Linked DNA regions of Drosophila melanogaster. The protein of the gene in region 1 interacts with the protein of each later gene in a pairwise test. Each region holds a gene or a part of one and is shown on either strand. Other genes may lie near its edges.

What was found. The genes of interacting proteins can lie anywhere in the genome.
Region 2: the proteins of CG8230 (region 1) and RpS2 interact in a two-hybrid assay, tested with the Drosophila melanogaster proteins (one large-scale study listed by BioGRID).
Region 3: the proteins of CG8230 (region 1) and mAcon1 interact in a two-hybrid assay, tested with the Drosophila melanogaster proteins (one large-scale study listed by BioGRID).

What each region holds. Positions count from the first base shown.
Region 1 is NT_033778.4:8,941,543-8,950,228, forward strand, and holds CG8230 (uncharacterized protein), read right to left. Parts: upstream 5,803-8,686; 5' UTR 5,730-5,802; coding exon 5,587-5,729; intron 5,508-5,586; coding exon 4,322-5,507; intron 4,266-4,321; coding exon 3,768-4,265; intron 3,709-3,767; coding exon 3,586-3,708; intron 3,514-3,585; coding exon 3,364-3,513; 3' UTR 2,756-3,363; downstream 1-2,755. Other genes in the region: CG33199 (uncharacterized protein), read right to left, coding at 7,211-7,399; CG8229 (uncharacterized protein), read right to left, coding at 8,038-8,686.
Region 2 is NT_033779.5:9,893,704-9,900,762, forward strand, and holds RpS2 (ribosomal protein S2), read right to left. Parts: upstream 3,850-7,059; 5' UTR 3,770-3,849; exon of another isoform or gene 3,509-3,769; intron 3,429-3,508; 5' UTR 3,428-3,428; coding exon 2,624-3,427; 3' UTR 2,562-2,623; downstream 1-2,561. Other genes in the region: Bka (bekka), read left to right, coding at 1,675-1,677, 1,738-2,337; Muc30E (mucin 30E), read right to left, coding at 4,250-7,059. UniProt on the Drosophila melanogaster protein: Component of the ribosome, a large ribonucleoprotein complex responsible for the synthesis of proteins in the cell.
Region 3 is NT_033779.5:21,165,254-21,175,745, reverse strand, and holds mAcon1 (mitochondrial aconitase 1), read right to left. Parts: upstream 7,177-10,492; 5' UTR 6,975-7,176; coding exon 6,942-6,974; intron 5,556-6,941; coding exon 3,918-5,555; intron 3,852-3,917; coding exon 3,348-3,851; intron 3,287-3,347; coding exon 3,098-3,286; 3' UTR 2,562-3,097; downstream 1-2,561. Other genes in the region: bur (burgundy), read left to right, coding at 1-5, 65-466, 522-713, 771-872; CG31627 (uncharacterized protein), read right to left, coding at 1,614-1,847, 1,904-2,458; CG43345 (uncharacterized protein), read left to right, coding at 7,532-8,743, 8,798-9,067; CG43346 (uncharacterized protein), read left to right, coding at 9,194-9,646; Noc2 (nucleolar complex protein 2), read right to left, coding at 9,708-10,492.

The sequences.
Region 1 (8,686 bases):
ATAAGCATATTGTCTGTTTGGGCCGTTCGAGCCAAGAGTAGCGAAAACAATTACCAACGGCCTCAAAAGTGCGAGATATCGCTGGGCGCAATTGCCGGAGGCGAGTAGCAGCAGGCTAACTTTCATATGTAGATTTCACTTGGAAATGGTCCAAAGCACAGACGAGCTCCCAATGAGAAACTGGCCCATTCATGCGATGGGCAATCAATCGATCGATCGCCCAGATGTAGACGGACATAACCATAGCAAACAAGATCGGCAGCTGCAAAGGTCAGGCACGGCACGGATGGATGAGTGGACCACGTACACGTATGTAGTTGGGTCTAGGCAAACCAGTGCGTCAGCTGCTGAAATACGCACGGATGCGGCGGCGGAGTGACGGAGTCACTCGGAATTCGGCGGATCTGGCGGAGCAAACAAACAAACCGGTGCGAAACCGATTCCAATACCAAATCCGAGCCAAAGTCAAAGCAGGTAAACATAAACAGCCGAGAGGTGCGAATTTATGCTAAGTCGATTGGCAACAGGCCAGTCGGCCAGCCAAAACAGTCAGAGAAAGACCACAAGATCTCCAATTCGGCCAACGTGCCTGCTTGGAACTCACGACTTGGACTCACTTCGAGTCTCGACCTGGAATCTGCGATCTGGAACTGAAACTGGGACTGGGCAAATTTCCAAGATTATTGTGCGGGCCTGCATTCGTCGGTATAAATAGAAAATCGGTGGATCAACGACCTGAAGCCGCTTGCCAAAACAAAAAGCGAAAATGCGGGCCCAGCCGCTACGTTGCAACATCATCCATCCCCAGCGGCGACAAATGAACTGGCTGCCGCTCCAGCTCCATTGGAGTGGTCGATCCCCTCCTGCAGAGCAGTGGCCTGGACAGTGGTCCAACAAAGTAATAGCCATCGGTGGTTAGCTTATGCCCATTCGCCGTTCCCGAGAAATAAGTTACAATGGGAATGGGGTTTCCTTAAGCCGTATCTAAAATACAGCATATTTAATATATATATACATATATAAATTAAAAAGCATAATTTTGTTGAAATATATAAGAAACTGAAAACTTTTTCATTGTTATTGGATTAAAATAACATTGGTCAATAATAACACCACGTTATTGCAATAAAATAGTCATATAAGGAAATAAAATTTTTAAAATTCAATGGAATGGCAAACAAATTTGAAGTAGAAAGCTATTTTTAGGCTGTTAAGCTATGAATGGAGTACATGTACAGCCGTTACTTTTACATTTATCTTAACCTATAAGATAGGTAGTCCTTATACATATTATTATTTTGTATTACTTTTGATAAAAGCGCAATTATATGCATTTACGCATTCATGAAATCCTAATACCATTTCAAGCTTTGCCTTTTGTATAAAGCAGCTTACTAAATTGGCGGCCATTTTGAAGAATGTTTCCAGTTAAGAGTGTGCACTAGTTGCTCATTTCCGACCTTTAACAACTGTATCGCGTTAAACCCAATCATTGTTATTACTTATTAAGTTGGTTTAACTAATTTGCGCTGAAATTTGCCCAACAAACCACAATTGGAGCGGGGAGTGGGAGGGGGTAGAGCGCCAATCAAGTGTGCGCATGCGCAACTCTTTTCGAGTTTTCTTTGCCACTTTTCGATATTCGTTTTTCGCAATGGCAGGCCGAGGGTTGCGAACTCGGCTAAGCTTCTGGCAAATTCTATCAATTGGGAAATTGGCAGCACAATACAAATGGCTAACAAAACGCGGCCCGAAGTCAATAAACCTTTTTAGCCAGCATGGAAAACTAATGGCAAAATGGGGGAAGGGGGGTCCAAAAGAAATTTGAAAAATTTTCGCCGTTTGTTGTGGGCTAAAGTGAATTAAAATGCAGCACGCCATGAAAAGCTCACAATAACAAATTTTCCGCCTTTCGGCGGCGATAAAACAAATGCAATTTTTATCGCAATACTAACCTGTGCGTTGTTATTTGTGTACTTGCTTATTTAAGACACGTACGCAGAGCTGACAAGAGTGCAGCAACAGCGACGAGACCACAACAAAACCTTCAGCGGATTGAGCCCCCATCCTCCAAGTCCAGCCCCCTTTACCGCCCAGCCGTTCAAGTCAACGAACCCCAATGTAAGCAGGCAGTAAAAGTCATCTCGTCGTTTTTCCCGCGGCTTTTTAGTCACATATTTAGCCGATGAAGCTGGTGGTGGGAAAAAAACGTAGCAGTAGTAATAAACAATAAACAAGGCAGCCAGCCCATCATCGTTGTTGTTGCAGCCGATAGTGCAAATATGCACAATGAAGTGCAAACAGCGAAGCCCGTATGCGTAGTGGAAATGATAAACGGGAGAAGAGGTGCTTAAGCATTGTTTACCCGGCGTATACGTAATAAAGGAAACTTCATTTGAAGCTTCCGTTTGGCGATATTTCTTTGGCGAAATATAATGAATACCCATTGGGATATGTGGATATTTAGCTTAAAATAAACTGACCAAATACGAACCCAATGAATCTTGAAGTAATATGACTAACCAATACTTCTCAACACTGAATTCTTTCCAAGAAGTGAACTTCGTTTTTAATGATAAATCCATTTCAAAAGACCAACTACTTTTTTCATAAAACACTGCCACGTTCCGATGACGAATTGCAAAGAAGATCTAATCACATTCTTGTTCTGATAAAAACCAACCCAAATAAATTTGGGCTTTCCGCAGATAACACTAAAGGCTGCCATAGACAGAAGAAAAAACACAAGAGCGTTAACTTTAGTTAATATATAGTTTATCGACGTTTTCAATTGCTAAATACAATACAATATATAATTACCATAGACTAAAATGTAAATATATTTTGCATATATTGTATATTCCGATTCTTTAATATGTATATATACTTTTTATTGGATTTGCTGCTTCCCATTGATTAGAACATCGATCTGTAGGCGTACGGAGCTTAACTTCCCTCTAAACATGCTCATTGCAGTCGGCTTGGCAAAATATGATCATGTTTCAAGGTTGCTATATTTTAACTTGAACAACAATTTCCGACCGGATTGCTTGTTAACATACACATTAGTATAAGCGTAGCTATGTCTATGTATTATCGTTAGTTCTCTCGTTTGCTTTGTCTCCTCTTGTCGTCAACGTTCGAGATGCGCATGCCTCTTATTTAGCGCAACATTTCTCTTGCTTTGTTTTGTTTTTGATACTGCATTTCGACATTTTGGGTTGGATCAAAAGGTAGGGCGTGGTATATGGCTTAAAGATCGGGTAATCCCGCACAGAAGACAAACGGAGAAGCATCGAAACATGGTGGAAACCAAAGCGGAGCCGGGTGTGTGCGTGAGAGGAAGGGATAGAGCAGTAAATATTAGCAGGCTATGTCCGTGGTCACGCTCTTGATGCTCTCCGAGCTGAAGTGCACGCAGCCGTACTTGCAGACCAACGTCCACACATATGGAATGAAGAACTCCTCGGGAGCGTCCTCCTCGACGTACTTAAACTTAAGATCCGGGAACTTCTGCAGGATAAACACAAAAAGAATAAGTGAGCCTGCGATTTGAGTGAGTAACTCATCGAGCGGATTACTTACTCTCAGTCGATCGCTGGACCACTGACTGGCACCTTTAGATATAACCTCGAGCACTTCATTGACCCCAAGCTCGCCTCTCTGCTCCTGGACACGCTGCAGACGCGAGGAGAAGAAACCGACAACCTGAAAACGAAGACAGCATGAGACACATCGCATAATCGGATCGGAACTAGTGCGCATACCATGTCTATGTTTTGGATGACATCCTGGAAGGCGTGGTGACTGCGGAAGCCCTCGAAGACGCTGCGCTTGTACAAAAGAGTGTACACCAAGTTGGGACAGTAGACCAACTGGTTTGTGAGGCAGGAGTTTAGGATTTCCAGCACCATGCGCAACACCTCCTCCAGCACGCTCAGATCTTGTAGCATGTCTTCCGGGGTCGTCGAGACGTTCACAAACACTGCGCTATCGGCCGGCTCCTTGAGCTGCGCATCCAGGCGCGTATGCTTCCGAGCGAGCGTTTCGAACAGCGAGACCAGTCGCTGTGCCACGTAAGGGTGTAGAGCGCGGAAGTGGCCGGACATGTTGGCCAGCGCCGCCAGGCAATTGGTGTGCAAGTACTTGTCGCGCATCTTCAGCATGTTGTACTGTATGGTGCGGATGACGATAAGGATTAGGATGCCGCCCAGCGATATCTCCGATATGGTGCGTTCCGTATACCATGTGATGTTTTTTAGCATCTACAGGGATGAGAAAGGATTAGTAATGCAACTATTAGCACGCACAGATGACCTACTATGGTGTGCACATTCTTGTTGAAGCCCTCGTCTTCACTCAGGATCAGCAGCACGATCAAGGACATGTAGATGTGATGTGAGTTGCTATCGGGGGCGTTGTACAGTGTCTGGAGGATGGGGATCACCAACTGCTCCAAGTCCTGTTGCTGCATGACGAACCGGTAGAAGCGCTCGTTGCGATGGAGCAGCAGATAGAGCAGCAGCGTGGCCTGGTCGATGGTAACGATGGTACACAATGTCTCATATACCGCCGAGAAGTCGATCTGGAAGGAGACAGCTCCCTGTTTTGGTGAATCCTTTGAATCGGCGCAACTGAAAAGGCTAGTCCGATAGGCGTTATCCTGTGCCGTGCAGTGGTTAGTCAGTATCAGGATCAGCAACAGGCTCTGGTTGGCCAGTGGGTAGTGGGTACGGAATCGCTGCGAGAGCTCTCCACCGCCGGCTGCTTGGCCCGCTTTCAGTATGTCTGGCTGCTTACGGAACGTGAAGATGGAAAGCAGCGACTCCGCGATGCCAAAGACAAAGGATCCAGCAGAGCTGGACCCAAACATGGTGTGCGGCACCTCCACAATACGCGCCACAAAATGCAGCAGTGCCGACATCAGCACGTTTGCGTGCTGACACTTGAAGACCGTCCGGAACACGATGGACTTGTCCGTGGGCTGTTGGGCAAACAGATGCACTGACAGCAGGGTGATCAGCATGTTAACGGCCTCTAGGTGCAGGTGGTAGGTGAACTCCTTGACGGGAATCACGACGATTAGGTTCACCAGGGCATCGATGAAGGTCTCAAACTTAGATCCGTCCACAATCACTGGAACCGCAGCCGCCGCCGACTGTTCGGTGGCCTCCATGGCAATGGTGGCGCTCTCCGCCGGCGTCTGTTGCTGCTGCTCCAATGCCGCTTGCAGCAGCTCTGCATTCGGCATAGCCTCAAAGTGCTGCAGCAGCTGGAACTCAGAGCCCGTCTCGTTGATGTACTTGACCAGGCTGCGGATGATGAAGAGCGCGTTGAAGGTCTGCCAGACGTGCATGTTGCTTTCCTGGTCCGACAGCGACAGCAGCTCGCTGGTCTTCTCCAGGAACACGGTCACCAGGGAGCCAAAGTTGCCCGTCTTCAGGTTATTGCCGATGAACGACTGGCACAGCGCCTCTAGCCGGCTGTCCAGGTTGAGCTGGTCCTGACTGAAACACACACCATTTCAAACCGCCCGAGATTAGCCCTGCTGACGTTGTTGCTCCACTCCTGTTCCACTCCACTCACCTGTTCTCCGGCAGCACAATGTTGTAGTTGAGCAGCCCGTTCCAGAAGGCCTCGTCATCGTGGGCGATGTGCTGGCGGCCCACGAAGCGCTGGAGCCACTGGTTGGACCCCAGGTCGGCCGTCCTGCTGACGTTGATGCCCATTCCGCAGTCGAAAGAGTGCTGTTGGCCGGCCAATGGTTATATTGGTGGCACGTCACTTGATCATTGAGCGGGGGGGTGAGGTGCTTACCCTTCCAGTGTGACCCTCGCTCAGCGCTGCGGAAATCCGTGCAGCTGTGGTGCCGCCGCTGCGCAATACTTTTGTCACATGTGGCGCAAAATTCAAATGCGGATTTTTGAAGCTGAAACTAAATTTTTTGAACCTTCGGATGTTGAAACACGTTTATGTGCTGTCCATATAAATGTCCTAAAAATGTAATTCAAGACATTAACGCCTCTACAATGAAATGCAATTGCTAAAGCAATTCTTCGGAAACTGTCCTTGGCACTTTATTATTTTAGAAGTGATAAAGAAATTAAAGAATTTTAGGCGAACCATATATTATATATTTTTAGATAATATGTTGGCTTATTAATATTAATATTATTAATAACCACAACATTATTTTTTGGGAATTAAAGTATTTATTTGCATAAACAAGAAAAAAGAAACTATTCAATAGATTGGGGATTTACAGCGAACTTACGGATGGTGGATAAGCTATTTTAACGTAAATATAACTTTTCAAGGGTATAGAGTATCTAGGCCTTGACAGCCGAAAGTTTATGTTATGCTGTTGATTCTTTTAAAGTACTTAGTTTTCACGCAAATCATCAACGAGTCACTAACCCGAGGAACAAATAATTATTTTTTATATTAGACTAGGAACTATAGGAAAATGTTAAAAATGTTTTATTCATAACCTCTAGGTGCTGGCTTAATATTCATATGTGCTTTAGCATGCATGTTTTAACGGAAACTAGAAATAAAAATCAATATTTTCGAATTGAATATAATGCATTTATTTGAATACGGAACTAGAACTAGTTTGTTTCTTGGATACTGACACAGCCTGCTCGGCGATCTGCAGTCCAACGAAGTCATTATTGTTTTATACCTCCCTACTTAGTCGTTTCTCTGGTTTGCAAATAACTTGTAAATAAATATACGTATATAATAGACTTGTTTACACATAAAATAAATATTACTAAAACGGGCAACAAAAGAGTATAGGAAAATTTGGGATTCCCGCAAGCTCAGCGAATCTTCTCCTCCATCGCTCCTTCGTTCAGTTTGTCTGCCGATGGGCTTTTTTCATACACGATTTATCACAAATTTATTCCTTTTAGTTGGCGACGCATGGTGTGCATGTGTAAACAAGAAAATATATCTATATATGCGCACAGATCCTCGCCTCCGATCAGTTAGTTTATCGAACAGAATATTACAAAACAAGCCTCCATGTCCGAGTTCCGCTTGGGTCTGTGGTGAGTGGGTGACTTAACTTAGGCAAATATACACGATGATGGCGGATGATGAAAATATCGAATGTGTGACCTCAGGACATGGCGCTCTGGCTCCTCATCGCCGCTTCAACCGTTGGCGTTGGCATCGCTCTAATCTTTCTGGCTATAGCTCCATTCTAGAGCTTGCGCAGGCCCTGGTGCTTCTGCTTCTTGGCCAGCAGTTGCTTAAGGCTGAACGAGGACAGCGCGATGCCGAAGAGCGCCAGCATGGTGGCAGAGCGGGTCACCACACGGTTGGGCGACGACGAGCTGGTGGTGAAGCCATGGCTGCAGTGCGTCGTGGCCTGTGTGGACAACGTCGGCGCCTGCGGGAGATAAGATAGGGAGACAAATTTAGTTTTTCGCTCGTTTTATATATATCAATCCAAACAAACAATAAACTTGGCCCACTGCCCGACGGCCCCCGCCCACACAGGCAACTACGCAGCAGAAACAATTTACGCCGGCAGTTGGCAACTAGGTTCAAGTGCCCCGGCCGTCCACACGAATGCGATTACCCCACATGGTCGCACGATTATTGAACTGATTGCAAAGGGTCGATGTAATGCCATATTATCGTGACTGACATCACTATCGCAATCACTGTCACAGCGCTTAGATGACGTTCAACTGCATTATCAGTCAGTCTCTGCAGCTCAACAGCTAATCGCGGCTTGAAACAGATCTCCGCGTGACGCAGTTGCCACGACCTCCTTTCCAAAGTTCACTTCCACTGATAGCACGCTCTCTTGTCGGCAGCGCTATCTCTCCTGTCCACTTGAACATGCTCTAGACGCGTGCCGCGAATTAGTAATCCACAATTTGAGTTGCCAAAAAAAAAAAAAAACATAGCGTAACGGACTTGTTTATAAATAAACGAACTTGAATTCTTATCCGGAGGTTTCATGCATTATTTCATATGCAAATTTATTTCAAATACTTGAGTAAGCTAAATGCCAGCCTATTACGTCCGTGGTGTCGTAAGTTTCGCTTCTGTGGTGGTTTCCAAATGCTCGATCAAGTGCATTACATCCTGTGTGCGAATGCCCCCCCTGCTGGTGGTTCCCTTGGCCAGTCGCTTAGGGCGTCTCCCTACGCCACGTAGCGCGGGTTTGGCTTCTGTGGAATGGCGTTTAATGGCGTCTAGAAACAAGCCGTTCATTCCCGTGTTTAACTCCGGAACACTGATAATAATATTGACGGCAGGCGGCGTTGACGGTGGTGACTGACCTTGCGGCTGGGTGGTTGCTTTCTTGGGCGGACTGCTGAAGGGAGACCCCTTAGATTTGATGCTAGGAGACATCCTCACACTTGCCTTCACACAAGCGGGTAGTAATGGTATTTCAGCTTTGCCTTGCCAGCTTTGGGACGTAGCTCCCTTCAGATGAGCCACATGTTCCTTGGCTTTGGTGTCCTCAGTTTGTACTGCTTTTGCCTTGGGCGGACTTATTAATCTGTCGGGTAAGACGACAGTTGAAGGTACTCCCAGCTCTGATTTCAATGCTTGTGGGGGTTCCTTGCATACGGTACTGTTCTCCTCCAGAAAGCTTAAGTCGGGAAGCTCCAGTTGTGGGCAGGGTTTTTCCTCTGAAGGCGAGTGCAGATTTGGCATG
Region 2 (7,059 bases), on another chromosome or scaffold:
TTTATTTGTACAACTGATTAAACAAATTGCGGCTCTTTTCCACCATCCCAATAACAATAAAAAATATATACAATTCGTGATTATTTGATTTTATTAGTTTATTTATTTTAGTATTTGAAGATGTCCAATTCTTTTTATATCAAGATCTTTTACACAAGGCAACGTCACTCTGCAATTAAAGTAAAATATAAAATATATTAAATACATCATCTCAAGACAGCCGAAATATATATATTTGTATTAGTCAGACGCCTTAGACCATCCTTAAGCCGAAGCTTTCTGGTGGAAACCGCAAAAGGTGTTTAAGGTAATCATCAGTTTATTTATTAATTTAAAAAAAAAAATTCTCGAAAATATTACCTTATACAGTCGAATAAACGAGCTCATTTAGTTATATTTGCCTGCGATAAACCACATTTCTGAGTTGATCTGGAAACAAGAGATAAAATAGGTAAGTAAAATGCTAGTTTAAGTATAATAAAGTTTTTATTGAAACTTTTTAGTCAGACGCCTTAGACCATCATTAAGCCGAAGCTTTCTGGTGGAAACCGCAAAAGGTGTTGAAGTTAATCATCAGTAAAACGTATATTGCATTCAAACATAAAAATGTTAGTGTAAATAAATTACCTTTATCGGTAAATCCATGTGCTCGCTGCTGCAGCTGGACCCATACATAACCTCAAACCAGAATGTAAATTCTGGAAATAAAAGAAAATGGCATCAATACAGTGTGTACAAGGAGTACTTCCAAATATTTTATATATTTGATTAGGTTTCAGTTTACAATTTTCTGCACGGTTATGAGCTCAGTACAGGTCTGTGTAAAAGATCATCAGAGAAGCATAGACCAACCAAAAGTATTAATATCTTACCTCCAATGTGACAATGGCGTCTCCAGTGGGCTCAGTGCCCAAGGTGTCTCAACGGGCTCACATGTTGTCCCGAGGTGTCTCACATGCACCATGCACGTGGAGTGCCCGGATTTCGATTTATCCAAATGCTTAGGGTTTCAATATTGTTCACTGCAAGAAATACAGAACTTTTAGAACATATTCTTGCCAAACCCAAAGAAAGTTCTTGAAGTTATATGCCATCAGATCGCCGAATCATCTTAAATGAACAAATATATAACGAGGCACTGAAAAATACAGCGCCAAGTCGAGAATTTGTTCCTTCAGTCTCGTCATCTGTTTCATCATTTGAGGCATAACACTCTTCCATTTAAGCACTTTAATTCACTTGATATAAAACTATTTACGAAGAGCACACAACTTACCATTTCGAGTCTTGAAATAAAATGAACGAGTTTCGTCATCGCACGTGGAAGGAAAAATTCTGTGAAAAGATGGCGGCCAACTATCGATGTCTCTGAATGCAACCATGGTAGTATCGTATCGGAAAAATTGTTTGGTTTTTGCCTGATATATATTGTATAAGAATGTGCAATAATTAACTTAACCGAATAAATGATATTCCATTTAATTTTCATTAAATCATTCATAAAATACTTAATATATGAAAAACTTTCATATTTATATGTTAATTCGATGTATCGATTGCCTATCGCTGTCTTCGGTGATCTAGCCCAAACAGCTGATTTTACCAAAATACTTACCACACGTGTGCCACTTTTTAAGTTATATTGTTTACAGTTTTTGGGAATTACAGCTTACAATGGTATATATAAATCTTTAATATTTAATTAAACCCGACCTAACATCTTCAGTTCTTTTGCAGGGAAAACACAAGAAAACGCAGAAGGTTAAGAAACAACGTAATGCACAGCTTAAACGCATCATAAAACCCACAGACGCGCGGCTTAAGGATCAGATTCGAGTGAAAAGAAAGAAGGCCGAGGATCCGCACCAGATCAAGGTGCACGAGGCCACCCAGCAGAGCTCCGCTCTGTTCTTCCAGTACAACACCCAGCTGGGACCGCCGTACCACATCGTTCTGGACACGAACTTCATTAACTTTAGCATTAAGAACAAACTGGATATTGTGCAAGGTATGATGGACTGTCTGTATGCCAAGTGCATACCCTATATCTCCGACTGCGTGCGTGCCGAGCTGGAGAAGCTGGGCAACAAGTACAAGCTGGCCCTGCGCATCATCTCCGATCCCAGATTCGAGCGACTGCCGTGCCTGCACAAGGGCACCTATGCGGACGATTGCCTCGTGGAGCGGGTGCGCCAGCACAAATGCTACATTGTGGCCACCAACGACAAGGACCTTAAGAATCGCATCCGGAAGATTCCCGGCGTGCCCATCATGTACGTGGCTGCGCATAAGTACGCGATTGAGCGTATGCCAGAAGCGTATGGAGTCAAGGCGTAGACCTTTTTTACTTCTTATCCTAAGTGTACATTTTTAAATATATTCTTACATGTAAGCAGCAAGCAATGCGTTTCGTATTTCCTGTTGTTTTTTAGTAGAATGCTTTTACTGCATTGTCTGGATCAACAAAGGAGACATAAGTTCTATTAAGTTACAAATAGTTTAACTACAACAGAATCTCCAAATCGACCAATGTCCACAACAATAACAAACACGAAGCGATTACATTTAAAAGTTTATGACTTTATTCAAAAACTCTGGATTGATTGGCCTCGAAAGTGTTCACTTAGGCATCGGCGTGCAGACGAGGAGTGGGCTTGGACAGGAAGTCCGAGTATGCCTGGTAAGGAGTGGAGCCCAGAGGCATCTCCTTCCACAGATCGGGGGTCAAGTACGCGTACGTCTTGGCGATGGCGGCATATGTAGCCTTGGCGAAGTTGCCGAGGGTTCCAGTGGAGCCACGGGCCGAGGTGTAGCAATCCTCAATACCGGCCATGGTCAGCAGCTTCTTGGGCACGGGGGCCGAGACAATGCCAGTACCACGGGGAGCGGGGATGAGGCGCACGGAGACGGAACCGCACTTGCCGGTGACCTTGCAGGGCACGGTGTGGGGCTTGCCGATCTTGTTGCCCCAGTAGCCACGGCGCACGGGCACCACGGAGAGCTTGGCCAGAATGATGGCACCACGGATGGCGGTGGCCACTTCCTTGCTGCACTTAACGCCCAGACCAATGTGGCCATTGTTGTCGCCGATGGCAACGAAGGCCTTGAAACGGGTACGCTGACCAGCACGGGTCTGCTTCTGGACGGGCATGATCTTCAGCACCTCATCCTTCAGCGAGGATCCCAGGAAGAAGTCGATGATCTCGAACTCTTTGATGGGAAGCGAGTACAGGTAGATCTCCTCCAAAGACTTGATCTTGCCCTCGCGCACCAGGCGTCCCAGCTTGGTCACTGGCACCCACTCCTTGGAGTCCTCCTTTCCACGTCCACGGGCCCAGCGTCCACGGCCACGACCGCGTCCACCACGACCACCACGAGAGCCAAATCCGCCACGGAATCCACTACGGGCTGGAGCTTCGTCCGCCATTCTGAAAGAGAGTTAAAAAAATAGGTTAGGTTCACGTTTTTTATTGTAAATCCTAAGATTTTCTGCTCCCAAGCCAGATACCTAATCTTTAGCCGCAAGTCTCATAGTGACTACCGCAAAATAAAGTAAAGGTGTTAACCCTACTACATATAGTCGCCATTTTGGAACACGTGGTGTCCCCCAAAGGGACAATTGATTTTTACGAAAGATACAACCCATCACTTGGATTTTTACACTTTTAGCTAGCTTTTAGCATATATCAAAACTCTGACTGTGGTATGGCGCATGCTGATTAAATTAAACACCATTTATTTCCCACATAATCCAACCGAAAATGCTTACTTGTAGGTCTATCAACTTTATTGGGGTGAAGACAAAAACGAAATGGCCGAGCCATCCGCTTAGAGCTGGGGCAATCACTTACGATAGTGCCGATACCATCGATAAGCATAATATCGTATGGGAAATCGATATATATACAAATATTTAAATGATGAATTTCAAATTATGTCAAGTTACTTACAAAATACTGTGTAAAAATTTCAGAATTTAAACATGTTTTTTTTTTTAATAGTTTTAAGAGTTTGACGAAATGAATTAGATATATGTGTTCAGGGCTTTTTACATTAAAGCGATTTTCTTTTTAAGCCCAATTTTTGGTCTTGTTTTTGAAGACGAAGATCCATTTTGCTCTTCTTAAAGATAAGTTGAAAAATATAATAATTAAATTTATAAATTATTTATAATTGTATATTATATAAATATATATTTAATGGCACATTTATAATATGTAAGTTCATACAATTTTAATGGTTTTAGTGTTTAACGACCCCAAAAGAAGTTTGGGAAAGGATTCGGCAATTGTGGTAGTGGTGGCAAATTTGGAAGGGAAATTTCTGGTAAGGATATTGCTGTTAAATTTACTTCCGGCAAAGGTGGCAAAGGTGGTAGGGGGGGCAGCGGAGGCAACGCTGTTGGTAAAGGAGGCAAAGGTAGAGGGATTTCAGGAAGTGGCAGTGGGGGCCAGGGCAGGGGCAACGGGAGAGGAGGAAGATCAGGAAGTGGAAGAATTGATGGACCGAGATCAGCGGGTTTGTGATAATGAATATGGTGATGATGGTGGTGAACATGTTGCTCTTCGGTGGTGGTTGATTCCGTGGTCGTATTGCTCTGATTCGATGAATTGGTAGTAGTTTCTACGGATGTTGGTTCCTGATTTGTTGTACTCATTTCAGCTGTCGTCCTTTTTGTTGTTTGATCTGCTGTTGTCTTAACCGATGTGCTTGTCTCCCGAGTGGTTGGCTCTCTGGTTGTCTTTGTGGTAGATGTCTTGCGAGTAGTTGGTTCTTCGGTAGGCTTTAAAGTAGTTGATTTCTTAGTTGTGGGTTCATGAGTCGTCTTCTTAGTTGTTGTCTTCTTGGTGGTTGGTTCTTCTGTTGTCTTATGGGCTGTTGTCTTACGAGTGGTTGGCTCCCGAGTTGTCCTTTCAGTTGTTACCCTCTTTGTAGTTGGCTCTCTAGTAGCCTTTGTGGTTGACGTTTTGCGAGTAGTTGGTTCTTCGGTAGGCTTTAAAGTAGTTGATTTCTTAGTTGTGGGTTCATGAGTCGTCTTCTTAGTTGTTGTCTTCTTGGTGGTTGGTTCTTCTGTTGTCTTATGGGTTGTTGTCTTACGAGTGGTTGGCTCCCGAGTTGTCCTTTCAGTTGTTACCCTCTTGGTAGTTGGCTCTCTAGTAGTCTTTGTGGTTGACGTTTTGCGAGTAGTTGGTTCTTCGGTAGGCTTTAAAGTAGTTGATTTCTTAGTTGTGGGTTCATGAGTCGTCTTCTTAGTTGTTGTCTTCTTGGTGGTTGGTTCTTCTGTTGTCTTATGGGTTGTTGTCTTGCGAGTGGTTGGCTCCCGAGTTGTCCTTTCAGTTGTTACCCTCTTTGTAGTTGGCTCTCTAGTAGTCTTTGTGGTTGACGTTTTGCGAGTAGTTGGTTCTTCGGTAGGCTTTAAAGTAGTTGATTTCTTAGTTGTGGGTTCATGAGTCGTCTTCTTAGTTGTTGTCTTCTTGGTGGTTGGTTCTTCTGTTGTCTTATGGGTTGTTGTCTTACGAGTGGTTGGCTCCCGAGTTGTCCTTTCAGTTGTTACCCTCTTGGTTGTTGGCTCTCTAGTAGTCTTTGTGGTTAACGTTTTGCGAGTAGTTGGTTCTTCGGTAGGCTTTAAAGTAGTTGATTTCTTAGTTGTGGGTTCATGAGTCGTCTTCTTAGTTGTTGTCTTCTTGGTGGTTGGTTCTTCTGTTGTCTTATGGGTTGTTGTCTTACGAGTGGTTGGCTCCCGAGTTGTCCTTTCAGTTGTTACCCTCTTTGTAGTTGGCTCTCTAGTAGTCTTTGTGGTTGACGTTTTGCGAGTAGTTGGTTCTTCGGTAGGCTTTAAAGTAGTTGATTTCTTAGTTGTGGGTTCATGAGTCGTCTTCTTAGTTGTTGTCTTCTTGGTGGTTGGTTCTTCTGTTGTCTTATGGGTTGTTGTCTTACGAGTGGTTGGCTCCCGAGTTGTCCTTTCAGTTGTTACCCTCTTTGTAGTTGGCTCTCTAGTAGTCTTTGTGGTTGACGTTTTGCGAGTAGTTGGTTCTTCGGTAGGCTTTAAAGTAGTTGATTTCTTAGTTGTGGGTTCATGAGTCGTCTTCTTAGTTGTTGTCTTCTTGGTGGTTGGTTCTTCTGTTGTCTTATGGGTTGTTGTCTTACGAGTGGTTGGCTCCCGAGTTGTCCTTTCAGTTGTTACCCTCTTGGTTGTTGGCTCTCTAGTAGTCTTTGTGGTTGACGTTTTGCGAGTAGTTGGTTCTTCGGTAGGCTTTAAAGTAGTTGATTTCTTAGTTGTGGGTTCATGAGTCGTCTTCTTAGTTGTTGTCTTATTGGTGGTTGGTTCTTCTGTTGTCTTATGGGTTGTTGTCTTACGAGTGGTTGGCTCCTTTGTTGTTCTTTCTGTTGTTTTCCTCTTTGTAGTTGGCTCTCTAGTAGTCTTTGTGGTTGACGTTTTGCGAGTAGTTGGTTCTTCGGTAGGCTTTAAAGTAGTTGATTTTTTAGTTGTGGGTTCATGCGTTGTCTTTTTGGTGGTTGGTTCTTCTGTTGTCTTATGGGTTGTTGTCTTACGAGTGGTTGGCTCCTTTGTTGTTCTTTCTGTTGTTTCCCTCTTTGTAGTTGGCTCTCTAGTAGTCTTTGCGGTTGATGATTTCCGAGTAGTTGGTTCTTCAGTAATCCTTAAAGTTGTTGATTTCTGAGTTGTGGGTTCATGCGTTGTCTTTTTGGTTGCTGGTTCTGCTGTTGTCTCATGGGTTGTTGTCTTACTGGTGCTTGGCTCCTGAGTTGTCCTTTCAGTTGTTTCCCTCTTTGTAGTTGGCTCTCTAGTAGTCTTTGTGGTTGACGTTTTGCGAGTAGTTGGTTCTTCGGTAGGCTTTAAAGTAGTTGATTTCTTAGTTGTGGGTTCATGAGTCGTCTTCTTAGTTGTTGTCTTATTGGTGGTTGGTTCTTCTGTTGTCTTATGGGTTGTTGTCTTACGAGTGGTTGGCTCCTTTGTTGTTCTTTCTGTTGTTTTCCTCTTTGTAGTTGGCTCTCTAGTAGTCTTTGTGGTTGACGTTTTGCGAGTAGTTGGTTCTTCGG
Region 3 (10,492 bases), on another chromosome or scaffold:
CTCAGGCATGTTAACAATTAATTGCTGTCAAAGTTATTATAATAAATATACTATTTAATTGTAGGTTATTATCCGCGTGATTGTAGACTACAAGAATAAACTGCAGAAGAACCATGCTTTGATCAACCGCGTAACGGCGGCCACGAGCGAGGCGGAACAGAAAGACCTTATGCGTATCTCATCGAACTCGCAGATCCAGGCAACTTTGCTGCCCATCCGATCAGTGGGCGTGCAAGGTGATAAACGGTCATATAGCTACGTAGTAGGCCTATCCACGAGCCAGGAGCCCAACTGGCAGGATCTTCTCTTCCTCGCCAAAATCATACCGCGAATTCTGCACAACGTGAACAGGGTGTGCTATATCTTCGGCGAACCCGTACAGTATCTAGTGACGGATATTACGCACACCACACTGAATACTGTAGTTCTTTCGCAGCTGAGGCAAGCCGATGATATTGCCAATGAAGTAAGTGGATTTGTCATAGAAATAAATAAAATGTATTATATCATAACCGTTTTAGATCATAATGCAAGCTGGACTATACCGGAAGATCTCGCAGATGCCTGTTGTTCTCATACCCGTGCACTTTGACCGCGATCCCATTAACCGCACACCCTCGTGCAGAAGGTCGGTAGTGCTGCGTCCGTTCATAACGAACGACTTTATGACTGGTGTGCCGGCTGAGCCCGGATCCGTGCAAATGCCTTTGCAAGTGAGTCAGTTTTCAATCTTTCTGAAAAATGTATATTTAATCTTTTCCTGCTCAAAGGTCCTAAATCAAATTGTACGCGATATATCCAAGCTGGATGGAATCTCGAGGGTGCTGTACGACTTGACAGCCAAGCCGCCGGGCACCACCGAATGGGAATGATGCGTTCAAACCAAAATTTTTAACAGCCATTTCATAAAAATAGATGAGAGAAAAAATAATCAACCAACCAATAAGCGGCGGGCTCTCGATAATAGGACAATGGCCAATCAATGGACGGTCAGGAAGGATAAAGATCCAACGGCGGACGGATCGACCCTTGCCTTCGAGCACTTCACAGCTGCTCCTGCCTTTTAGAGAGACACGTTAAACGAGCAATTCATGAGGCGCAAATACAGAACTGCAACTGCCGCTTCGAAATTTAAAAACAATTCAGGTTCTTTATATCGATGATGCACGTATGTGTATCAAGATCTAAAACAGATGGTAAACTATTTGCCAATAACACTTATGTACATTTTCATGTTTTGTTCCTTTTGATAAAAGGAATGTGCCCACAAACCACGTAACAAACAAAAAAAAATTAATTTACGCATTTTTAGTTATATACATATAATATATATAATATACATAATAAATAATTGCAAAATCACAAGTTTCGAAAATTGTATATTTGCTAGAGAGAGAAGTGTTTTCATGGCAAAAGGCATAAACGATTCTAAGAATACAAAACAAAAATATTGTAAGCTAAAATTATGAATTGTTATATAAAACGTCAATATTTAAAAAATGGCAAAACCAGAAAAACAAAACGATTATGATACAAGAAATGTAATAAAGCGAAAAATCGATTCAAATGTGTTTGCATTGCATTTTTTTATTTTGAGATATTCAAATCAAGGCCTATGGTCTAATCTTTGTTTTTGTCAAGTAATAGGGACCGCCACTAGTAATTTTTTGAATTTTTTGAAAAGCGTCGCGGGAGAGAACAAACTTGCTATTTTGGAGATTCCTCAACTTCTCAAGCGAAGCCATCTTTTCTCTAATGGGCGTACGTTTACGTTTTTCCTGAACATGTCGCAGGTTTCTAGACGGATTCTTTTCGAGAGTAGGTCCCGAAGGCTTAAGATGCATTGGCTGAGTAAAAAGTAGAATAAATACTAAAGTGATTTGTTCGTTAACTATAAACATACAATCTCTCGAGGGGGTTTTCCCCCTTCTCGGTCAAACATGTGATTTAGAAACAGCAGATTATCTGAATAAAATAGTTTTGGCTGCGGCGATTCACCCGAAAACTTTGCACCCTGCTCTTGTATGCGCTCCATCTCAACTTTATAGCGAAGCTTGTGAATCATATGTTTCCAAAACCCAGATGGCGAGTCCGCTTTCATTTCATCGGCAATCGCATCCCAGATTCTGTCTTTGAGCTCGAAATTGAAGAAATCTTTGTTGCGCTGATTCCACAAGCATTTGTGATCTTCATACAATGCGATTAACTTTAATTTAGCCTTGGCGGTCTTCATGAACTCCGGGCTAGGTGAGAAGGTGATGGGGGTCTTTCGCAAAGAAGTGGCGTCTGTATAAGTGTAGGAGCCTGTGCTGGAGTCAAAGGACGTTGTACTCTGTTCCTGACGCTTAAGTTTTGCAGCCAGTAGGGCTCGTCTTCTTCCCAACGATGGCTTGTCGGAGAGTGAAAAGAAATCCGTGCTGGAAGCAACGGAAGTTTTACTTTGAGCTCTGCGTTTCATAGTCCTAGAATTGGATTTACTAATAATTTATATTTGATTGACAATTCGACATATTTTCCAAAAGCTATGGGTGAATAATTAAGTAATCTGCCCCAGTAGATTCTATTATTGATATTATGCTTTATTGTGCAAATTGTTGTGTCTTACGTCTTATAATTGATAAAATTATGTTAATAATGAAGAAAATATAGAGGACACGGGATGAATTGACGGCACTTATTGTCCGCTTTTTTGTTTTAACTGTTGTTTATTAAATGAAAGAATCGGTTTAATACATATTACTTGAGTTTTATTCGCACTTAAAACAGTTTCATAGTAGAGGCAATCTGTAGAGCATTTGGACAAATTCAAAAAGAACAAAAATTGAAGGAAACGCATGCATAGCCAGAATTAAAAATAAAATTGTGTATAATTATATATATAAAACTCTTACAATTTCTCGCTATCGTTCGGCTACATAATTCACTTTTAAAGCTGCACACTCGATATAGTCAAAATATAATATAAACAATTTGAAAAGAATTGAATAACAATACCATAATTCGATTGCTTCCGTTGTGAATTTGAGTGTGTTCACCTACAGGAAGAAGGTTGGGATCAGGCTTCTTGACTGGGTGTCTTAAGTAGGTCCAGGACCATTTACTGGGCCAGCTCCTTCATGCGGTTGAGAGCGCTGCCGGCCTTGAACCAGCCGATCTGTAGGTCGTTCAGGGTGTGGTTAAGCTTGATCCTCTCGACCTTGTCGCCATTCTTGATTTCGGCATCTACGGGCTTTCCAGGCGCAAGGGATTTCAGGTTGAGCAGGGAGATTTTGCTCGTGGGCTGGATCTGTTGAAGTACAAAGATATGGTTAATATGACCTTAGTCACAGAAGCTAAGAGTCGCAAACCTTATCGTAATCAGCGGGATTGGCGAAGGTGAGAGGCAGAAGACCCTGTTTCTTCAGGTTGGTCTCGTGGATACGGGCGAAGGACTTGACGATAATGGCACGACCACCAAGGTGACGGGGCTCCAAAGCGGCATGCTCGCGGGACGAACCCTCGCCGTAGTTCTCATCGCCGACGGCCACCCACTTGATGCCGTTGGCCTTGTAGTCGCGGGCTACGTCGGGAACTCCTCCCCAGCTACCGTTGCGTTGGTTCTTGATGTTGTTCATCTCGTTGTTTTCGTAGTTGGTGGCTCCGATAAACATGTTGTTGGAGATGTTGTCCAAATGGCCACGGTACTTCAGCCAGGGTCCGGCAGCGGAGATGTGGTCAGTGGTGCACTTTCCCTTAACCTTGATCAGCACAGTCAGATCGGTCAGATCCTGGCCGTTCCACTTGTCAAAAGGCTCCAGCAGCTGCAGACGCGTCGACTTGGGGTCGACAGCCACCTTGACATTTTCGCCGCTCTGTGGGATTTCCATATTGATTCTTAAGAACAATATAAATCAGTTTGGGAATTTAAATGTACTTACGGGTGGGGGAGCAGTGTAGGTGTCCTGGCCGGGATCGAAACCCTTGGCGGGCAGCTCGTCGCCGAAGGGAGCCTTGAGCTTGAACTTCTTGCCATCAGCACCAGTAAGCTCGTCGGTCAGCGGGTTGAAGTCCAGACGACCGGCGATGGACAGAGCGGTGACCAACTCGGGACTAGTGACAAAGCAATGGGTGGCCGGGTTAGCGTCGTTCCTGCCAGTAAAGTTTCGGTTGTAGGAGGTGACAATGGTGTTCTTGTCGCCCTTCTTAACGTCCTTACGATCCCACTGTCCAATGCAGGGACCGCAAGCGTTGGCCAGAACGGTACCGCCGAACTTGTCGAACACCTCAGAGATGCCGTCGCGCTCGATGGTGGCACGGATCTGCTCTGATCCGGGAGTCACATTGAAAGGAATCTTCGACTTGAGGCCATGGCTCATGGCATCCTTGGCGATGCTGGCGCAGCGACCCATGTCCTCATACGAAGAGTTGGTGCAAGAGCCAATAAGACCTACACGGATGTCCATAGGGTACCCGTTCTTCTTCGAGTTCTCGCCTAGCTTGCTGATGGGATGGCCCAAATCGGGAGTGAATGGTCCGTTAACATGGGGCTCCAGGGTGTCTAGGTTGATTTCAATCAGCTCATCGTACTCGCAGTTCTTGTCAGCGGACAGAATCTTGGCCTGGTACTTCTGGGCTTCGGAGGCAATGCCAGCACGGCCTGTCGATTTCAGGTAATCAGCCATGCGCTGGTTGAAGGGGAACAGAGAGGTGGTAGCTCCGATCTCAGCACCCATGTTGCAGATGGTGGCCATGCCTGTACAAGAGATAGAGTCAACACCCTTGCCGTGATACTCAATGATGGCACCGGTGCCTCCCTTGACGGTCAGGATATCGGCAACCTTCAGGATAACATCCTTGGGCGAGGTCCAGCCGCTGATCTTGCCAGTCAAATTGACACCAATCACCTTGGGGCACTTCAGCTCCCAGGGGATGTCGGCCATCACATCGACGGCATCAGCACCACCAACGCCAATGCACAGGCCACCCAAGCCACCACCGTTGGGGGTGTGTGAGTCAGTACCAATCATCAGCAGGCCGGGGAAAGCGTAGTTCTCCAGAATGATCTGATGGATGATTCCGCTGCCTGGCTTCCAGAAGCCCAATCCGTACTTTGCACAGGTGCTGGCCAAGAAATCGTACACTTCCTTGTTCAGGTCCTTGGCACGGGCTAAATCCTTGGGTCCACCAATCTGGGCCTCGATTAAATGATCACAGTGAACAGTGGAGGGCACAGCCACCTTTTTCAGTCCGGAGGAGATAAACTGAAGCAGAGCCATCTGTGCAGTGGCATCCTGCATAGCCACACGATCGGGGCGAAGACGCAGGTACGAAGTACCGCGCACGATGTCCTGGTTTGCGGGATCGTCCAGATGCGAGTACAGCACCTTCTCGGAGAGAGTCAGTGGGCGGTTCAAGCGACCGCGCACCACTTCCAGGCGCTTGTTCAGCTTCTCGTACGGCAGGTAGACGTCCGAGTCGAACTTGGACAGAGCCACTTTGGAGGCGGTGTAGCAGGAGGCGTGGAACTGACGCACCACTGTGGCTTCGGACGCAACATGCTTGCCCAGTCGACACACCTGGAAAGCAGATAAGAAGTCGAACTGTTAAATATGGTGAAGTGGTACATTTAGCAATCAAGATCAAGTAATTAACACAATGTGATTCTCTAGTTTATTTGCACTTCGCACACTGTGAGATTTTATTTATTCGCTTGGTAGCCCAATAAACACTTGATTATCATGTCAAGAGGACGAGTCCTCGTCACTTTAATTAAATTGATTCCTCTATCAGGAAATGATAATTCCCAAAGATATTCTGACAAGAGTACAATCATGTGGGGACCATATCTGTGAAAATTCTTCTTTACTGTACATTTAATCTTGCATACATATATAACAAATGTAAAACATTATTATCACCGCTTTCACTTGTTTTAAGATCAATATATTGCTAAAGCTAATAAATTTTAATCGTCTTGAAATTTTTGAATAGCCAAAAATAATCCATTGATCCATTTACCGCTTCAGAGTGAAATTTTTCCAAATATTTTTTTGAGATTAGTAAAATGATTGAAAGTTTACATTTAACAATCAAAGTATTTTAAGTGCTAGCCAAAGTGCTTTAAGGTTCTTCGAACTGCAGAATAAAAAAATAAAAAGTAGCTGGAAATATAGTTTGTTTGTAAGCCTTTCAAATTGTTACAATATTCTACAGAACACTCCAATTAGAAGAACCACGTGACGACACGACTGTATGTACATACACGCAAATCGAAACAATTGCAATGACAATTACGTCAAATAGGTCGTTAACTTATGGGCAGAGTACAGTGAAACCTTTCTCGAAGCTGACGTGGAAAAACCCCACTTGAAAGGCAAAACTCCTCCAATGCGCGTGATACTCAAGTTAAACGGCGCAACTTTTTTAAGCTATATTTAGTGCTGGCATTATCAAAGTGTAAGTAAACCTGTCACAGATAAGACGGTCCTCCGCCACAAGATATATGCTCTAGAGGGTGTTCGCCTCCTGGTTAAATAACTGGACCCCGGCGATTATGTAAATGCAACTATGCCAACCATCGAACCCCCACGAATCGCTGTTAATTGTTGAGAGCTAACGATTTCGCATGGTTCACTGCTGCGTATTCAGTATACATGTTTGGGATGCAGGGCCTGTAGAATCACAAACACTGCGAACTCGGTTACCTAACCACTTCGAATTTTATGATTTTAGGTTAGAAAACGCTGTGCGAAAAATTTGCTATTTTTCGCTGCCCACATCCTGCTGGGTGTGTAAGAAATGGGCAATGATTTTTTGTAAACTTTCGCGCAGTGCTCTGTCCAGTTGTCTTTATCGCAGCTTGGAATTTCGGGGTTCCATTCACAGATTCTATACGTAAACGTATATATAGCCGTGGTTATATATTGGCCGACTGGAGGCACAGGCTCCGCTCTAGAACCTACCTGTGCCTGGGCGTTCATCAATCTCGCAGCCATGGTCGCGTCCTGATTAAGCGATACTCGAAATAAACCCGACGAAATTGATATTGCAGCAAATGCTTCGAAGCCGTCAAAATTTTCAGCCCTCTCAGCCGGAAGATTTTAAGACAGACTAAATTCTTTACCACGGCGACCAGTGTTAGCTGGCGTCACGCATACGCGTCAGCAATGTTCCGCCGGCTTGTTTCCCGCCAAAATTGGGTCGTTAAATAAATAGGACCATAGAAAGTTTATCAGTTTTGAATTAAAGCGATAAACATTTATTAACTTCAAGAGAATTAATGGACTCTATGGCGTTAAAACTTAAATCGAAGTAAATGCTGAAATAATGCACTGACGACAACTTATTTTTCTGAGCAGGGACTTGGATTAATTTATCCTTTAGCTTTTTTTTAGCAGCCAGCGCAGACGACTACCGCGCTGTGCTGTCCAACACTGCCCATTTGTTTGCGTGGGCGGGTGATACTTTCCCACAACTGCGCGAATAATAAATAGGCTCGGCTGTGAAAAATGTTTGACAATGGCCAGTCAGCATTAGTCCTGATCCCCTTGCCATGTCCGAGCGTCGCGTAGTGCATGAGATACCCGGAGAGTACCAGCCAGTGCCCAGAGCACCGGAAGAGCCAACCCCTTTGACCACATCGTGTTGCCGGCGTCCCAATTGCGGCCTAGGGCTCCAGGATGAGCGAAATATCTGTTCCTGCAAGCACGGCTACATCATACCAGTGCTTATACTCTTCGTTCTGGTGATGATTGTGCTTCTGTTGCCTTGGGAGACCTACCATCGAAATGAAAACGGAAACAGCCCCGTTCCGGTGGAAAAGCCGTTACCATGTCAACTCGAACTGGTGGAGAGCTTGCCCTTGGGGTTGAACTACAGCCAATGGCAAAGCCACCCCCAACTGAGTAGCACCTTTGATGCCTGGCAGCTACTACTAGGCAGGGCCAAGGCATCGTTGGACATCGTTTCTCCGCACTGGACACTGCGCGGCTTGGACGTCAACGATAGCAGCACCGGGCCTGGAGATCAACTCTTTCAGCAGCTACTGTCGAATGGAGATGCCGGCAGACCCAAGCTGCGCGTGCGGATTGTGGTTAATCGCAGCCACGATAGCCTGTGGCATGCTGATGCCCGTATCTTGGCTAACTACGGAGCAGCCGACGTCGTGGGCATTAATTTTCTGCACTCAAAACTGTGGTTAGTGGACGGGGAGCACTTCTACTTGGGCACAGCTAGCATGGACTGGCGATCACTGACGCAACGCAAGGAACTAGGTGTGCTGGCCAGAAATTGTCCCCATCTTGCTCTAGATCTGGGAAAGATCTTCAAGGCGTATTGGTACCTGGGCAGCAATGAAGTGCCAAAGAGCTGGCCGTGGATATACCACACGCACATCAATCAAAGAAGACCGCTTTTGCTAAACATCAACAAAAAACATACAATGAGAGCTTATTTATCCACATCACCACCAGAGTTGATCGCTACTGGAAGGACCCGAGAGCTAGATGCCATTTTAGAGGCTATCGACAAGGCCACAGACGTTATATACCTCTCCTTAATGGAGTACTCTCCTCGGCTAAGACGGAGTAACAAATTGGAGTACTGGCCGGTCATAGACAATGCCCTGCGTAGAGCTGCCTTGGAACGCGGTGTGGCCATTAAGGTGCTTATTTCATGGTGGAAGTATTCGGATCCCAGCGAGGATCACTTCTTGAGGTCCCTTCAAGCGCTCGACAAAATTACGGAAGGAGTAGATATACAAATGGTAATGAGCTTATAAGTATTGGCAATTTTATTAACAATTTCTTTGCTCTTGCAGCGACGTTTTGTTGTACCCACCACAAATGAACTGGAGAGGATTTCCGGCGGTAGAGTTAACTGCAACTCGTACTTAGTCACCGATAGGGTTGCCTTTATAGGCACCTCCAGTTTTTCGGGAGAGCATTTTACTTACTCAGCTGGCATTGGATTAGTACTCCAGGACATGGAATACAACAATAATAGTCTCCGTACAGATTTAATGGCAATTTTTCTGCGGGACTGGTTTAGTCCCTATGCATTGCCACTGAAACCAATTTTACGAATTTGAATTACGCTTTTAAACCTGCCGGCATTTTGCAACACCGCCACCAGCTGTTCATGTCATAACAAACGCAAGACCTAACCTCAAATTCTAAAATAAATTTAAGTTCCTCGCTCTTAAGTTAAAATAAGCATGGCTAACAAGCCGACGCGCGATGTGATCGGCATCATCTTCAAGAACTTTTGGAAGTCCCTACGACCGCGGCAGTTTCGTGGGGATTACATTGGGGAGGACTATTTCGGGAATAAGTACTACGAAATTCCTGCAAATCCTTCGATTGGAAAGAGGAAGCCTTCCCGGTGGTTCGAGCCAGCGGATAAGGAAGCCTTCGACCAGGAGCTGACTGCCGAATGGGAGGCGTGGCTACGAGGGCGCCGGGAGGAGCCGCCCACCCGCGAAGAGCTGGTGAAAAATCTTCAGATTATGGACATGAAGAAACGCAACGCCGCCGAATTGGAAGCAACATACGCCAAGGGCAAGGACGACAAGGCACTGCCCAAGCAGGTGGACGGACCAACTATTGGAACCTTTCCCAAATACAAGGAGTATGAGTTTATTCCTGGCAAGGAGCCACCGGAGAAGTAACTCTATATTGGTTTTCCTTTTAATTTAATGTGTAAATATAGTTAAATTGATCTTAAATGTTTTACCATTCGTTCAAATCTAAGTCCTTAACAATATCCACGGCTCCACCCGCCTCGTCGTAATCATCTTCCACTGTTGCTGGCCGAGGTTTTTGTTTCTCGGGCTTCTCTTTCTTCGCCTTTTTGGCTTTAGGGTGCTCAACTTCCACCTCCTCCTCCTCCTGTACATCCTCGTCGTCATCATCATCTGATCCCAAATGCAGGCCATCATCGCCTTCATCTTCCGAGTCCGAGGGGAAGAGTTCGACCTCGCCGTTTTCATTTCTCACTGGTACTCCGGTTTTGACCGGTAGTTTCTTTAGCTTGGGCACATCATAGTCCGCATTGATTTCATCTGTATGTGCTGCCTGTCGTCGCTTCTTGGTCTCGTGTGTCTTTAGCCAGCTGGCATAGTAGACGTCTAGTGGAGTGCGCTTAAGACGGAGTTGCTGCTCCCAGGCGGCGACCGCCTGCGCATCCTTTATGTCAAAAGTGACACTGCTCTTGCCACGTTGCTGCTCTATGAAGCGGGCACTCTCCTGAATCTTCTCTAGCAGCTGTTTAAGTTTTCGAGCATAATTGGCATTCCTGCATTCCTTAAGGTACGTTTTGATGGCCATGACAGTGGGCACCACCAAATCACTAAAGGCCAGCGAGGTGGACTCATGAGCGAGATATTCCAACAGAAGCCCACACACCTGCTCGATCACCTCATCGCGGAAGCCATTTTCCGCCAACTGCCCTTTGTTAAGCCTAAGGACGCAGGTAAACTGCACTGGCTTCATGGATACCGCCGAGTGCTTGCGGT